Caenorhabditis elegans: one gene and its partners. The protein of the gene in region 1 interacts with the protein of each later gene in a biochemical or structural test. Each region holds a gene or a part of one and is shown in the gene's direction. Other genes may lie near its edges.

What was found.
Region 2: of the proteins of vrk-1 (region 1) and baf-1, one has a biochemical effect on the other in vitro, tested with the Caenorhabditis elegans proteins (2 studies listed by BioGRID).
Region 3: of the proteins of vrk-1 (region 1) and lem-4, one has a biochemical effect on the other in vitro, tested with the Caenorhabditis elegans proteins (one study listed by BioGRID).

The regions. Positions count from the first base shown.
Region 1 is NC_003280.10:5,920,030-5,925,347, forward strand, and holds vrk-1 (Serine/threonine-protein kinase VRK1), read left to right. Parts: upstream 1-1,937; 5' UTR 1,938-1,942; coding exon 1,943-2,425; intron 2,426-2,472; coding exon 2,473-2,736; intron 2,737-2,783; coding exon 2,784-2,870; intron 2,871-3,025; coding exon 3,026-3,824; intron 3,825-3,878; coding exon 3,879-3,994; intron 3,995-4,345; coding exon 4,346-4,429; 3' UTR 4,430-4,809; downstream 4,810-5,318. Other genes in the region: Tyrosine-protein phosphatase non-receptor type ptp-2, read left to right, coding at 1-640, 691-939. UniProt on the Caenorhabditis elegans protein: Serine/threonine kinase that phosphorylates baf-1, thus regulating the association of baf-1 with chromatin and nuclear membrane proteins during nuclear envelope formation. May act through the egl-17 signaling pathway.
Region 2 is NC_003281.10:9,465,619-9,468,579, forward strand, and holds baf-1 (Barrier-to-autointegration factor 1), read left to right. Parts: upstream 1-1,845; 5' UTR 1,846-1,850; coding exon 1,851-1,973; intron 1,974-2,028; coding exon 2,029-2,175; 3' UTR 2,176-2,440; downstream 2,441-2,961. Other genes in the region: B0464.9 (putative protein phosphatase methylesterase 1), read left to right, coding at 155-226, 281-520, 568-677, 727-1,261, 1,307-1,444; tag-342 (transcription initiation factor TFIID subunit 13 family protein), read left to right, coding at 2,539-2,617, 2,777-2,948. UniProt on the Caenorhabditis elegans protein: DNA-binding protein which plays an essential role in nuclear envelope formation. Required for normal chromosome segregation during mitosis. Associates with the nuclear lamina via its interaction with LEM domain containing proteins emr-1 and lem-2.
Region 3 is NC_003282.8:848,748-856,773, reverse strand, and holds lem-4 (Ankyrin repeat and LEM domain-containing protein 2 homolog), read left to right. Parts: upstream 1-2,011; 5' UTR 2,012-2,076; coding exon 2,077-2,141; intron 2,142-2,395; coding exon 2,396-2,491; intron 2,492-2,539; coding exon 2,540-2,785; intron 2,786-4,335; coding exon 4,336-4,780; intron 4,781-6,109; coding exon 6,110-6,898; intron 6,899-7,197; coding exon 7,198-7,368; 3' UTR 7,369-7,505; downstream 7,506-8,026. Other genes in the region: Y55F3BR.11 (Ground-like domain-containing protein), read right to left, coding at 1-112, 760-872, 959-1,049; lgc-33 (Neurotransmitter-gated ion-channel ligand-binding domain-containing protein), read right to left, coding at 7,924-8,026. UniProt on the Caenorhabditis elegans protein: Involved in mitotic nuclear envelope reassembly by promoting dephosphorylation of baf-1 during mitotic exit.

The DNA.
Region 1 (5,318 bases):
TGTCATGCCAACGATGGAAAATGAACGAAAAGAGAAATGTGCGAGATATTGGCCAGCAGAAGTGAATAAGCCAGAAGTGCACGGTGATATTTCTTTGACTTGCACTATCGAGCGGAAAGTTCAGCGAGCTGTGTCTGATGAAGTGAAAGCTGAATTGGAACAAGAAAAAACGAATCGAATTGCGAAGGGTTTAGTCCCAGAAGCTGAGCTTAATGGTGATGGTATCAGCTACATTCTTCGCACTTTGGTCATGAAGAAAGGAAAAGATACGAGGGAAATTCGTCAATTACAATATTTGACTTGGCCAGATCATGGATGTCCACTACATCCTTACGCAGTACTCAATTTCCTCGAAGATGTCGATCGTGAATATGATTATTTCAATGCTCAACCAATTGCTGCATCATTGCCTCAAGGGCCGATCGTTGTTCATTGTAGTGCTGGAATTGGTAGAACAGGTACCGTACTTGTATTGGACGCACTTCTGAACCAAGTGAAGAAAGTCGGATTATTGTGTCCGATGGATGTATACAAGATGGTTAAGTACGTCAGAACATATCGATCTGGACTCGTTCAAACAGAGCAACAATATCAATTCCTTTACAAAGCACTCGCATTTTACTTGAAGAATAATAACCCCGTAAGTATAATTTTATTTATTATGATTCAGTTAAGTATGCATATTTTCAGTACCCTGTGAAATCGTTCATTGATGGAGACACGGATGCCTTCGATTTTCCACGACGTCTTCGTCCGACGCCAAATGCTTCACGTCCATCGTCAGCTAGACAAGTAACATCTTCTCGGCCTTCTTCCTCTGCGTCATCCCGTACTTCTCATTCTCGCCCCCGAACTGGGCCACAAGCGGAGCCAATTTTCGAGCGCAGCACTTCTTCCACGTCATCATCGTCAACTCTCCTGAAATCAACTAAAAAATAAATCGCGAATCAAGAAATTTCTAGCATTAATTCACCACTTTAAATTCTATTTCTATTTTCTCTTTTATCCGTTTCATAGTTGTTATTCTTTCCTTTTCCATCTACTGTCATTCTGTTTTTTTTCTTTCAATTTTCGACATACTCAGTTTTGTGTTTCAATTATTATTTTCTTCTTCTTTTCCCTTAATTGTTTAATTTTCCAATTCATATTGCTTCCCATTTTCTCAGGTAGAAACGATTTGTGAAAATTATACATTTACCATTCATTTGTTGTTATTTGTAGTTTTTTTTGTGACCCATCTCTTAGATCCTCCGGTATTAGACTTTTTCGTATTGCCAGCCAGACCACCAGGATGATTTTCCATTGTACCCCGTTTGACTCAAATTTATTTTTTCTTGTTCCGTCGTAATTATTCGCAAATTCTCTGCAACACCATACCATTCATTGTTGAGCACTATGTACTATTTCCCACCAATTCTTTATATAATCAAGAACAAATCGCGACGCTGTCTTATGCACATGATTCCCCCGAATCCCATATCCTTCCAGAATGATAGTAGATCAAATTCAATTTGTCATTTGAGATTTATAGGTTGATTGAGATTTTTCTAAGAAACATTCTGGTTTGTCTAATAAACATTTTATATTGATTCCATTCAAATATTCAGAATTTTTATCGGTAGCAAAATGCCAAAGCTGAATTATCCGTTTGAAACTTTTAATTTTAAATATGATCTTCTCTTTCAGGATTCTAGAATATAAATATTTAAATAGAAGAAAAAAATTTAATAAAAAAATTCTGTAGCAAGTGCGCCCCTTCGTTCGATTTAAAAATCGCGGGCATTCAAAGCACTCCCACTTTCCCTGTTCGTTTAGTTTCGTTATATGACATTTTGCTTTCTTTTATTTTCGCTTTTCACCAACCCTAATCAACAAAACTTAAAATCATTGCAATACTCGCGTGTTTCGAAAACCAATTATATACATTTCATTTTCAGGTAGAATGCCACCGAAAAAAGCTCCCGCCAAAAAGCTGCACGAGTTGGCTGCTGAAGTTCGTGTTGGTCATAAAATCAATGATATCAGCAAAAAGACATTCATCGTTGGAAAACAGTTTGCCACCGGTGGATTCGGACGAATTCATACGTGTACCGAAGAAGGAAAATCGCAGCAAATGGTGATGAAAATTGAACCATCCACAAATGGACCGCTTCTCACAGAAGTTGTAGTGTTCAACAGAATTCTCAAAAAGGAATTAATTGAATCTTATAAGAAGAAAAAGAAAATTAGCTGGATCGGTCTTCCATACCTCATTGCCAATGGATATTTTACATACGAATCGGAAAAAATGCGATATATGATCATTCCGAAGTATGCAACATCATTGGAAGCTGTAAGAGAGACTAACGGTGGTACTCTGGCTATGAAGGATTCATTGACTGTCGCGAGCTGTATTCTTGATGCTCTCGAGTACTTGCATGAATCGGTTTGTGAACATTTTCATTTAAATTGCTGATATTCTTCTTTGTTCAGGACTATGCTCACGCAGATGTAAAGGCTGCCAACATTCTTCTAGAAAAACAAGGAGTGTATTCAACAGCCGTTCTTGTGGATTTTGGTTTAGCTCATCGCACTACGAACAACGTCGACAAGCCTGATAAGAAACGAGCTCACAATGGAACATGCATCTTCACCTCAACTGACGCACATCGTGGTAACAATCCATCATTCCGTGGTGATATTGAGATTCTTGCCTATAATCTGATGATGTGGGCAACTGGCACATTGCCATGGATGGTGAGTTAATACTTTTTCGAACGTTATTATTTTTGAATGGGTTACAGGCTCTCGAATCGTCCCCCGAGAAGGTTTTTGATGCCAAACAGAAGTTCATTGCTGGATTGCCAGGCACCTTGCAGAATGTACTTAAGGTTCGTACTTAACGTCTTCCACCCCATTACACGCTATTCCGTGTTATACCTAACTCTACATGCTCTGAAGCCAAATTATGGGGTCAGAAAACTTCAAAAGTGGATATATTTGTATACACACGCAACCAACCTACCAATTACACAATTATTTTCAGAACGAATCATCTGCCGTCGTTGGTTGTATTGCATCAATGTTCGATATATCGATGAAAACCAACTACACTGACAAAGTTGATATGGGAAAGCTGAAGAAATTGGTGACAGACGCTATTCAGAAAACTTCAAGTGATGGTAAAAAGACGCCAACGAGACAGAAGAAACTCGCCGAAGAAGATAAAAATGCAGTGACACCAAAAAGAAGTACCCGGAGATTAGCTGTGAAAGAAGAGAGTGACAATAAAGATAATGATGAAGTGGAAGTTAAACCGGAAAAGAAAGCTACTCCCAGAAAGAGAACTACTCGAAAAGCTGTGGAAGTCAACAATGATTCAGATGACAATGAAGAACAATATGAAAATCCAAAATCAAAGTCATCGAGAACTCAAACAAAATCCAAGAGAGCAAAGGAAGAGGATGTCGACGATGAAGAGGAAATCATCATTCCGAAGTCGTCAAGATCTCGAAGTAAAGTACAATTATCTGGAGAAGGATCAGATGTCACGACGCCGTCTTCAGCTGCATCTACTTCGAGAAGTCGCAGTATTCGTCTAGGATTAACGTCATCAACTGCTTCTTCTAATAAAGTTGCCAAAAAAATCGAGCAAAAGTACAAGCGTTTGTCTATGAACAAATCTTCTCTCGTTCCCGTAACAATTTCTGTTGCATCCGATAAATCTCCAACAACCTCAACTCCTTCGAGTTCGTCTGGTCTCAGATCCAAAAGAAAATCCAGTGAAGATGTTGGCGAAGGAATAACTCTGAAGACACAAGTGCTAATTACTCCAGCTATTAAAAGTGAGTTCTCATTTTTTCATTTTAAGCATTAAATTAAATACATCTACATTTTAGAAGCGAAGACAAAGAGTGGAATTTCTTCAGCAACAAAAGCAAGCCCAACCGAGTTGAGAAGAGTTCCTGGCGTCAGAAATTTTCCAAAAGGCAGACGATCGATGATTATCAAAGAGGTAGAATAGAATTGAACTTTTGTTATGAACATTTTATAAAAATGAATCCTGATACTAATTACTGTAATGAATCCTCAATTACTTTTCAAACTTGTTAACTAGGTAAATATAGCTATTCACTGTAGGTTAACAAAATTGTCTCTTTTTTCCAAATGGCCTATTAAATCGCATGTAGTAACTAGAATTGTATGTAGCGCCTAGAATACGTTTAAAACTTTAAATAATATTATTATCAGATTACTAAAGTAATAATGTCATACTAATTGCAAAAACCCTGTCATAAAATAATCAATTAGAAAACATTTTTTTCTTCTAGTAACAATTCTAATAAATCTAATAAATGAGTTTCAGACCAGTGCGAAGTATAAAGAACGTCTTGCTTCTCGTCAAACAAAGCCAACATTTGATGATTCGAGCTGCTCGTCGGAAGTGTAAACCATTGGAATCTTCAATCGAGTCACATTGCATCCCATAATTTCGTCTATTGATTCCTCTAACGTGTCTATTTTCCCTGTCTTACAGTCTCTTTCATTATTATATGTTTCGAGCTCTCAACAGGCATTAATTGTTTTTAGATCTCCAATTTTTTGCAACTTATCATTCTGTTTTGATGTACTATCGTTTTTTATCCCTTCTCCATCTCTTCGTCCTTTTTTGGCTTATCATCACTGACATGATGTCCATCAGCGACGAGTTCCCCTTTTCCACTTTTTTTTGTTATCGACGATCCCTCTTCTCTGATCCCCCTTTCACTTCCCATTCTCAAATTTTGTGAAATTACTACTGATTGAATTGATGAATTTAACTGAACTGTGAGTAGGTGTGGGTGAAACCTAAGAGGAACTAATCACGAAATTAACAATTTAGAAGGGTGCTGCTGGAAATAAAATGGGAAACAGGTTCTTTGTTCCGGTTCCCTCTCATTTCGACGACTTCTTTTCCGATTGACGTATTTCGATGTGAGGGTGGAAACCGTTGACAGCTGAAAATGTCCAGATGATCTGCTGACCTGATTGGTTTCAGACTTATATTTGGCTCATTGTGAAAATTCAACTTTTTTTTGTTTAGCACTTATGATCGTTGGTGTCCTCCGGCAATCCTTGCCAGACAGTCACCTATAAGTGTAAAATGTGACGAACACAAAAACGAGAATTTGATCGTTTTTTAATGCTATCCATTTTCGTTTTTCTCAGTTTTCCGACAGTTCGTCTTCGTCCCCTAAAAAACAAAACAGTGATTGCTGAAAAAAAGAAGTGACAATGATTTGATTACTGTAGATATCAAATACATGGTAGAGACACAGAGAAGCATAGAAAGTGTTCCA
Region 2 (2,961 bases), on another chromosome or scaffold:
TACTACGAGCGCGTTGGCCTAGAAAACGCATGTCAGCATTTTCTAGGCCATTTCGGAGATTTTTAATAATTTTATTTTTTTGGCTCAATTTTAATAAATATAGCTTTCTATTTAATTGTCTTAAATATTTAAATATATTAATTTACAGATCACCATGTCCGACGATAAATTAGACACTCTTCCGGATCTTCAATCGGAAACGTCACATGTCACAACTCCTCACAGGGTACATTAATAGTGAAAATTAACAAGATGATGTTTTATTAAATATCAATTTCAGCAAAATGATCTTCTTCGTCAAGCGGTCACTCATGGAAGGCCACCACCAGTTCCGAGCACATCAACTTCTGGAAAGAAACGAGAAATGTCTGAACTACCGTGGTCAGATTTTTTTGATGAAAAGAAGGACGCAAACATTGATGGAGATGTTTTCAATGTGTACATAAAGGGAAATGAAGGTCCAATTTTCTATTTGCTTCACGGTGGAGGTTATTCAGGCCTCACATGGGCGTGTTTTGCGGTATGTTTTGTTCTATTCTAGTGTCAGTCATTAATGGTTCTGTTCAGAAAGAATTGGCAACTTTAATATCATGCAGAGTTGTTGCACCTGATTTAAGAGGACACGGCGACACTAAATGTTCTGATGAGCACGATCTTTCGAAAGAAACCCAAATAAAGTGAGGTTTCGCTTTGATAAGTTTTGTAACTTCTATCGACATATTGTAGAGATATTGGAGCAATCTTCAAGAACATTTTCGGCGAAGACGATTCACCAGTATGCATTGTTGGACACAGTATGGGTGGTGCATTGGCCATTCATACATTGAATGCAAAGATGATTTCTTCAAAAGTCGCTGCACTCATTGTCATTGATGTTGTCGAAGGTTCCGCTATGGAAGCACTTGGAGGAATGGTTCATTTTTTACATTCAAGGCCTTCTTCATTTCCTTCTATCGAAAAAGCCATTCACTGGTGCCTTTCTTCGGGTACAGCGAGGAATCCCACAGCTGCACGGGTCTCAATGCCGTCTCAAATTAGAGAAGTATCGGAACACGAGTACACTTGGCGAATTGATTTAACAACAACAGAACAGTACTGGAAAGGATGGTTTGAAGGATTATCCAAAGAATTTTTGGGATGTTCCGTTCCGAAGATGCTTGTTCTAGCGGGCGTTGATCGGCTGGACAGGGATCTCACAATTGGTCAAATGCAGGGAAAGTTTCAGACTTGTGTGTTACCAAAAGTTGGACATTGTGTTCAGGTAAATGTTATACTCAATTAATAATTTATATAAATTGTCTTGCAGGAAGATAGCCCACAAAATCTTGCAGATGAAGTCGGAAGATTCGCTTGCCGCCATAGAATTGCCCAACCGAAATTCTCAGCCCTTGCATCACCACCAGATCCAGCGATTCTCGAATACAGAAAACGTCATCACCAATAATTGCTCATTTTGTTTTCCAATATTTTCACAACATTTCTATACAAGTTAAGAAAAAAATATTTTATATGAAAAGATTATCGATTAAATTTCCCGTCTTTTTAGTTCTTGGGAATAATAAATGTCAGCGACATACGAATGAATCGATTATTTTAGAGGAGAGGCAGATGCCAAAAAATTACAGTCAAAAAGAAGTATTCGTGAAAGAGTGCGCAAATCGAGAGACGCAGACAGAATGCAAACGCGCTCCGCTGAACTGTGGCCGCCAAGCGTTTCGTTTAAAAGGGAGCGTTGTCTATTTTCCTATCTATTCTTGCCAGTTTTATTTTATTTCGCAACTATCTTTTTACTACGATTTTCGAAAATATTTTCAAATTCAAGAATGTAATTATTTTGTGTTTCAGAAACCATGTCGACTTCTGTTAAGCATCGTGAGTTCGTCGGAGAGCCAATGGGCGACAAAGAAGTCACATGCATCGCCGGGATCGGGCCAACATATGGCACCAAGCTCACCGATGCAGGCTTCGATAAAGTATGTAGATTTTTTTTTCTCAAATTTTCGATCAATGTTAAAATTTGAATTTCAGGCCTACGTACTGTTCGGACAGTATCTCCTTCTGAAGAAAGACGAGGATTTGTTTATCGAATGGCTGAAAGAGACGGCTGGAGTGACTGCAAATCACGCGAAGACGGCGTTCAATTGTTTGAACGAGTGGGCAGATCAGTTCATGTAAACTGCTCAATATTTCTGCTAAGCATCGATTTGATTCTCCTCTATAATCATCAATGGCCATATTTGCACTTCGAAAAACACCATTTGTTCCAGTGTAGTCGTTTTCCGCTTTGCGACTATGCCCCATTTCAAATTAATCTGTTTCTGAAATATTTCTCATACTTCCAAGTTTTCCCCCTTGTCGTGTGGTCTTGGACTACGGTTCTTGTTTTGTTTTTGACTTTAATTTTGCGATTTTTCTCCCTCCAAATAAAATATTTTCTACGATCCTGAAGAGTGTTTCTAAGTTTTTTATTACGAAAGTTGTCGTTCGAAAGTTTACTTGGAATAAAAACAATATTTTCTATTCTATGGTGATTTCCAGATGCCTCCGAAAAGGGCTGTGAAAAAGAAGGTACAGACCACAGAAAAAGCTCGCCCAACATTGGATCAGGAGATAAAATGTGAGCATTTTTACACGGGTTGGCGGCAATTCGACAATTATCGAAGTTAAAAATTAATTTTTTTTTTCAAAAAATATACTGAAAAATACATTTTCAAATGTGTGTTTCCAAAAAAGTTTCGGATTTGTTACAATATTCACACGGAATTTATTTTTTCAGTAGATGACTCAAATGAGCTTGAACCATCGATTCGAAGTGTTGTGACGAGTTTGATGTTCACTTCGGGAGACGACGAAAATCCACTTTCTGAAAATGAAGATTTCGTTGTGAATATACTGAAAAACGAGTTGGTTCTCTTTATTAACGATGTTATAGAGGTTTATGATAATAAGTAAGCAGATTTT
Region 3 (8,026 bases), on another chromosome or scaffold:
ACGTGTCCATACTCGTCGCCCGATCATCCACATATCCATTTACACGATGATATGACGTGGCACTGACAAGCCATGTGCCACCGGAAGACGCGAAATTCGGGATTAGGGCGGTCTGGAATATATACTTTTGAGTGCAAATTTTGTCGGTGGTGGTGCTCACGGGCTTCTGGTCTTCCTCAATGCATTTTTGGCGTTAATCTACCACGACCATGGCCGAGCTCAAATGGCCTAGTTCGGCAGACTTTTACATTCAAAAATTCGTGGGAAGCCAGAAGCGCGTGGCTGCTCCAAACACTTTAATTTTAAAACTCTGTAATTTTTTTTCCGGTTTTTATTTTTTCGAATGTAAATGAAAAGATTCCAGAAAGTCGTTTTGAAATTATTGGAATTGGAACATTTGGTGATTTTAGTATAAACAACTAAATTAAAATCTATATTTTTATTTCATAAGCCTACGTCTAAGCTCAAGCCTAAACCTAAGCCTGATTCTAAGGCCAAGCCTAAGCCGACGCCTAATCCTAAGCTTAAACCTAAGCTTAAGCCTAACCCTACGGTTAAGCCTAAACTTAAGACTAATCCTAAGGATAAGTCTTAGCCTAATTGTAAGCCTAAGCCAAAGCTAATCCCGAAACTATGAAATTTTACACTGAAATTGTTAGGTTTAACACAAAAATTTGCGAGAACTCGAAAATTTGTAAGAAAATAGATAAGAAAATGTTTTTCGAATTTTTTCGGCGAAAAAAAAAGAAAAAAACTCACTTGAATAGCTGCCTGAACTTGATCAACGGCGATTGCCTTTGGATTTGTAATATTTTGCAATGCATTGAAGACTACTTGTCTTAAATCCTTATTTGTACAGAATAGAGCGTCGACTGAAAAAAAACTTTGAAAAGAATGTTTTTTCTCAGATTTTTTTTAGTTTCAAATCAAAAATAATTGTTTCCCAGTAAAAACTTACTATTCGGCAAAACTCCACGATCATCATTTCTAACAGGAAAACTGTGTGAAAACGCAAAAAATACGTGGAACAGAAGCAAAAATCGGCGCATTTTCCGGCAGGTGCATCTGGTGACACTGTGTCAGGTGCTCGAAGAGTCAATTAGACACCCCGATAAGAAACATTTTAATTATTCATTTTCTTCTGATAAGTGATAAGGAACATGGTGACGATTTTTCGAAAATCGGGGAGAATGCAAACGCGCTTCGTTGAGAATCCGGCGAAAAAATCTGGAAAAAATTGATATTTTCTGAAAAATTGGGATGTTACTGTGCATGTTTCCGAAAACCCCGATTTTTTGTGATGAAAATTACCAAAAATGTAGTTTTTTTTTTGAAAAGTTGACTGAAAATTCGAATTTTTCGTAAAAATTTCATCAAAAACCCAAATTGTGCAGCAAAAAAATTTGTGGCCTAACTTTTTGTTTAGGTGGCCTAGGATTTTTTTGTTGACAAATGCGAGAAAATGCGAAAAATTACCAGAATATTTGAATTTCACGTGAAAATTTTATCATAAACCCCAAGTTTTGCATTTAAAAATTGGTGGCCTAACTTTTTTCTGGTGGCCTAGAAATTTTTACTGAAAAATTAGAAAAAACCGCAAAAAATTAGAAACAGTTAACTGAAAATTCGGATTTTTCGTTAAAATTTCATCAAAAACCTCAAGTCTTGCAACAAAAAATTGGTGGCCTAATTTTTTTGTGATGGCCTAGGAATATTTTGCTGCAAAAATGCGGGAAAACCGCGTGAAATTAGAAAAAGTTAATTGAAAATTTGAAATTTTCGTAAAAAACTTCATCAAAAACCTCAAGTTTTGCAAAAATTTGCAACAAAAAAATTGGTGGCCTAACTTTTCTTTAGGTGGCCTAGTGATTTTTTTGCTGAAAATTCAAATTTTTCGTAAAAAAATGACTGAAAATCCGCCAGGTTTTCACAAATTAGCAGATAAAACTGCGCTCTATTGCAATATTTATTCGAAAAAATTCGAAAATCATGTGATAGTTGCGAAATTCGAGCTGTTTTTGTTGCCTCATCACTTTTTTCTGTTTCTTTTCTCACCAAACTCTTATTCAAGAGTTTATGGGGCGAAAATCTGCAATTCTAGCTGTAATTCTTGCTATAATATATTTCAGAAGTAATTTCAGGTGACTTTACATTATTTAATATATTTTTTTGCAAAAAAATCGATCGATTTTCAGCGATTTTAAGTTTACCCCCTGAGAGAGTGTAGGAAAGTGAGAGACGGAGACAGAAAGCGCTACAACGACGCTCCGATATTGCGGGTTGCATGTTGTTTAGCGTATTTCAGCGGGTGTTTTAAATGAGGAAATATCGGTTTTTATCGGTTTTTTATTGGATTTTCGTCGATTTTTCTCATTTTTTAATTGTTTTTTTGCAGTAAAATGTCAAATACACCGGTGCAGGAGACTGAGGGACCGGTCTACGTGGCATATTCCATGGAAGATATGCTAAAATCGCCCAGAGACTTGTATAAGTGAGTTTTTACTCGATTTTTCGCTGAAAATTTCGATTTTTTTTACAGAAGCGTCAAGGAAGTGGCGAAATTCGTGAACTCGGCCGAAGGAAAAAGCATGTCGGCTCGTTTTAAGAAATTCGGAACGCCACGAGAAGCGATGGACTTTCTCGCGTACGGAGATGCGCCGACGACACCGAAAACCGTGCCGCCCGTCGCCCCAACTGAGCCAAATTCACCGTTTTCCGGTGTAAATCGCATTCAAATGAATGAATTCAAGAAATATGTGGAAAAAGGAGATATGGAGAATTTTTTGTAAGGATTGTGAAATTTTTGAAAAATTGGCGAAAAGTAGATATAATTCTCGATTTATTACAAAAAAAAATCCGGCACTGTTATAGTTTTTAGCTGAAAAAATTGAAAAATCTGTACAAAAAGATGGATATTTCCGCAGTTTTGCTGGAAAAAAGCCTTTTTCTCGAAATTTTCCCATAGAAGGTGGATTTTTCCCAAAAAAACCAGACTTTTTCGAGAAGTTATCGATTTTGATCCGAGTTTTCACCATAATTATCTATTTTTTCTATCATTTTCCTTTTTTTTTTCCTTGAATTTCTTTAAAAATTTATTTTCCCCCTAGTATCCTTTAAAAATTCGATTTTCACTCAAATTTTCACAAAAATTATCAATTTTTTGGAATTTTTATCAAAAACTAGATTTTTCCCGGATTTCCCCAAAAAAAAATCGATAGCTTATCAAATTTTTACCAAAAAAAAAATTTTTGGAATTTTTACCAAAAATTATCGAATTTTCCTAGAAAATCCCAAAAAAATGGGGTTTCCCGAATTTCCCCAAAAAAAAAAAGCGGACTTTTTTCCAAAATTTTTCACAAAAATATTGATTTTCACCCAAATTTTTGGAATTTTTACTAAATATCCCACAAAAATTAATTTTTTCGAATTTCCCCCTAAAAAATTATTTAAAAAACCGATTTTTTTCAAATTTCTCACAAAATGATTGATTTCTTACCAAATTTTCACCAAAAATAGATTTTTGGAATTTTTACTTAAAATAATCGTGTTTTTCCAAATTTCTCTTGAAAATCGATTTCCCCTAAAAAAATTACAAAAAAAAATCGATTTTTACTCGAATTTTCACCAAAACTTTCGATTTTTCGGAATTTCCAACAAAATTATCACTTTTCATGAATTTTTCTCAAATATCCTTCAAAAAATCGATTTTTCCCGAATTTTTACAAAAATGCCGATTTTCTGTAATTCCGGTCAGAAATTATCGATTTTTTTCAAATTTTCATTTGAAAAATCCAAAAAAAACCTTTTTTTTTTCTTAATTTCCACCAAAATCACTGCAACTTTTTCCTCACGAGGGACGAGGAAAAATGGTTTCTAGGCCATGGCCGAGAGGCCGACAAGTTTCAGCAAAAAAATTCGAGATTTTCGCACAAAAAGTTGAATTTTGAAAATCTCAAAACTTTTTCAGCGGTCTCGTTATGAAAATCAGGTAGTCTCAGCATTTAAGCATCATATGTATCATGTTTCAGAAAAAGTTTAGGTTTTGTATTCCCGTAATCCATCATTTTACATTGACCACTTTCACCGCTGCTTGCCCACTGAATACATGATTTTTTTACTTGGAAATTGTTTTAGCATCTGCAAAAAATATTTATTCATCAGTTTTATTAAGAAAAAACGAAAAAAATCGATGAAAAACGAAAGAAAACAGGCGGAAAACAAAGCAAGATAAATGGCCGCTGAAACTTGTCGGCCTCTCGGCCATGGCCTAGAAACCATTTTTCCTCGTCCCTCGTGAGGAAAAAGTTGCAGTGAAAATTATCGATTTTCTTGCAGACGCCTCGTCGATTCGAATCCACGTTTTCTCGTGAATACCGGTGGTGACGTGGCATCAATTGTGATGGAAGGATTCCGTTATAATGCTCTACACATTGCCGCCAAAGCCGGCCAAACGGAAATAATCGCAAAAATTCTGGAACTCATTCAAAATATCGATTTTCTGATTCGCCTGTACGGCACCGGCGCCGATGACGTCACGCTACGAAAAATCAATATTCTGGATTCATATTTAAATACGCCGGACAAAGGAAACTCGGATACCCCACTACATTTTGCTTCGAAATTCGGAAAAATCGGCGTTGTTCGAGTTTTGACTGAAAATTCCGCGACGGATAGGACACTGCTCAACAAATCCGGAAAAAGCGCGTTGGATTGTGCCGGCGAACGATATACGGGAGAGGATAAGGATATGGTGCAACGGGATATTCATTTGGCTATTGAGGTGCGGGAAATTACCAATTTTCCGCGATAAAAATTGAGAAAAAACGGGAAAAATTGCGGAAAAATCGATTTTTTCGTTTAAATTTTATCAAAAACTCCAATTTTTGCAACAAAAAAAAATTGGTGGCCTAGAATTTTTCACTGAAAAATGACAAAAACAGCGAAAAATTACCGAAAAATTCGAATTTTTGTAACAAAAAAAAATGGTGGCCTAACTTTTTCTTCAGGAGGCCTAGGAATTTTATGGGAAGAAATTGCGGAAAATTCGATATTTTCGTAAAATTATGACTAAAAACCGCCAATTTAGTTAGAACATAAGATTATGGCCTAACTTTTTTCTGGTGGCCTAGGTTTCTTTTTGCTGTAAAAATGCGGGAAATTACGAATTTTCCTGAAAAATTTGAGAAAAAAGGAGAAAAAACCCAATTTTTTTGTGGTGAAAATAGCCAAAAATGCAATTTTTTTTCTGAAAATTGTGAAAAATCAAGTTTTCTAGCCTGATCCTGCAAAAAACCACCGGAAAAATCCAATTTTTTTTCGTTAAAATTTCTAAGATTTGAGCAACAAAAATTGGTGGCCTAGGTTTTTTTACTGCAAAAAAATCGAAAAAAAACTCGAAAAATTACCGGAAAATTAGAATTTTTCGTTAAAATTCAATAAAAACCCCTATTTTTGCAACAAAATTGGTGGCCTAACTTTTTTTCTGATGACCTAGAAAAGATTTCCGTATTTCTAGGCCACCTGAATATCAAGTTAGGTCATTAATGTTTTGCGCAAAAATAAAGATATTCCATTTTCGCAATATTTTTCATCCAAAAAATGGAACTTTTGGATTTTCAAAATTTCTAGGCCACCTGAACAAAAAGTTAGGCCACCAATTAATTTTTTGCGCTAAAGAGAATTCAGAAATTCCCAATTTTCCAGTATTTTTTATTAAGAAAATGGAACTTTCTAGATTTTCAAAGTTTCTAGGCCACCAATTTTTGGGTGCAAAAAAATCGGAAAAAAAAGTTGGTGGGCTAAGTATTTCTATGATGGCCTAGGAAACTCCAGGAAAAAAGTTAGGCCGCCAATGTTTTTTTCCGAAAAAAAGTCAGAAATTGCGAGTCTTGCAGTATTTTGTCTACAAAATTTTTTGTGTTTTAAAAATTTCTAGGCCACTAAAATACAGAAAGTTAGGCCACCAATCTTTTTGCGCCAAAAATTCAAAGAAAACACCTTTTTTTGAGAAAAAAAATTGATGGCCTAACTTTTCCTACATGGCCTGCGAAAAAGTTAGGTCATTATTTTTTTTAATGCGAAAAAAAAACTTTAAATCAATTTTTTTCAGGGTTTCTACGTATTTCTGCACCGAAATCCAACAACCGGCTCCACACAGCTTACAGTATCCCAGAAGCCGCCGGCTACCTACAGTACCTCGCCGACCACAGCTACAGTAACCGTGTCAGCACAGGCGGGACCATTTTTCACGGAGCGAGAAGCTCGAGATTTCGCAAAAAGCTGGCAAACCGCGGGAAAAGAGCTGAAACGAACGGATTTCGATAAAGGATGGGAACGTGTCGGCCGTGTGCTCGCCGAGCAATCAGAAGCCATGTGGCGAGAGACTTGGCACTTCTTGGGCTCTATGGAGCTTCTCGATTTGGGCTCCGAGCAGGGACTGGGCGTGCTGGAAGCGTTTTTACGCGAAAAACGGCGAGGAAATCTGAGAAATTCTGAGATTTCCGAAATTTCCACGAAAAAATCGATATTTCGACGAGGAATTCACGCTAGAAAGTTGGATTTTGGAATTTTGGATGGAGAAAAATCGGCGGAAATATCTGAAAATTTAACCCCAGACGGATCCGATTCCGCTGACGACGAAGACGACGATGACATATTCTACGACACATTCTCTGAAATTCCGGCCGCCGCTGAAAAATCGATAAACGATCCGGACGACACGCTCGGAAGTCTCACCGATCGATTTGCGGCGATTTCGATTTTTTCGCCGTTGCCGCCGCCGCCGCCGCCGCAATGGTCAAATTCGCCGAATTTTGATTATTCTGAAGGCGAGGATTCGTTTGCGACGCCGCCGACAACGCCGCCGCCGACTTTTGTGGCAGATGATGAGCCATGCAAGGTTCGAAATGGGAAAAATCGATAAAAATTGATAATTTTAGTGGAAAATCGTTAAAAATCGTGTATAAGCGAGTGGAAATTGTTTAAAATTCAAAAATTTTGGGCAAAAGTCGATAACTTCAGTGGAAATTTTCTGAAAATCAATTTTTCCTAGAAAAATCGATAATTTTCGAGAAAAATCGACAAAAATACAAAAAAAAAATCAATTTTTGTTTAAAATTCTGAAATATCGATTTCCCTGAAAATTCAAGAAAAACTGAAAAAATCGATAATTCCTCAATAAAATCACATTTTTTCCAGATCGACAACGACTTATTCGAAGTTTTGGCTCAAATTTCATCTGAATTGATCTCCAAATTCCCGCTCACTCAAGACTACGTTCAGAAACTGGGAAAATTGACGGCTCATGACAGATCCACGTGGCGTCCGATCGATTCGCCGGCCCGATGCGATTCCAGGCGAAAAATTTAATAATTTTAATAGTTTTACGACATTTCCCACACTTTTTTTAATCATTTTTCCACTGAAACATATCTGAAAATCGATCTTTTTTTTTTTAATTTATTAAAAATTCTTGTAAATACCGAATGAAACTTTGACAACTTGAGATTAAAGTCTATCATTTTGCAGAAAAATCAATAATTTTCGCAGAAAAATCAATAATTTCCTAGAAAATCAATAATTGTGTAGAAAAATCGATAATTTGGAAGAAAATCAATAATTTTGCAGAAAAATCGATAATTTGGAAGAAAAATCAATAATTTTGCAGAAAAATCGATAATTTGGAAGAAAAATCAATAATTTTGCAGAAAAATCGATAATTTGGAAGAAAAATCAATAATTTTGCAGAAAAATCGATAATTTCCAAGAAAAATCAATAATTTCCTAGAAAAATCGATAGTTTTGCAGAAAAAATTGATTCGAAAATTCATTATTTAACTTCCTATCTCAAGGAGTTTACAGTTTCCAGCTGAAAAGAGAAGTTCAAAATTAAATTTTTCCAAAAAATCCAGAAAATGTTTATTTTCAATCGATAACTATGACAATAATTGCATAAATCAATAGAAAAGTGAGATAGGACAAGAAAATACAGAAAAGGGCCGCCCGTTTTCGATTTCCCAACATGGCG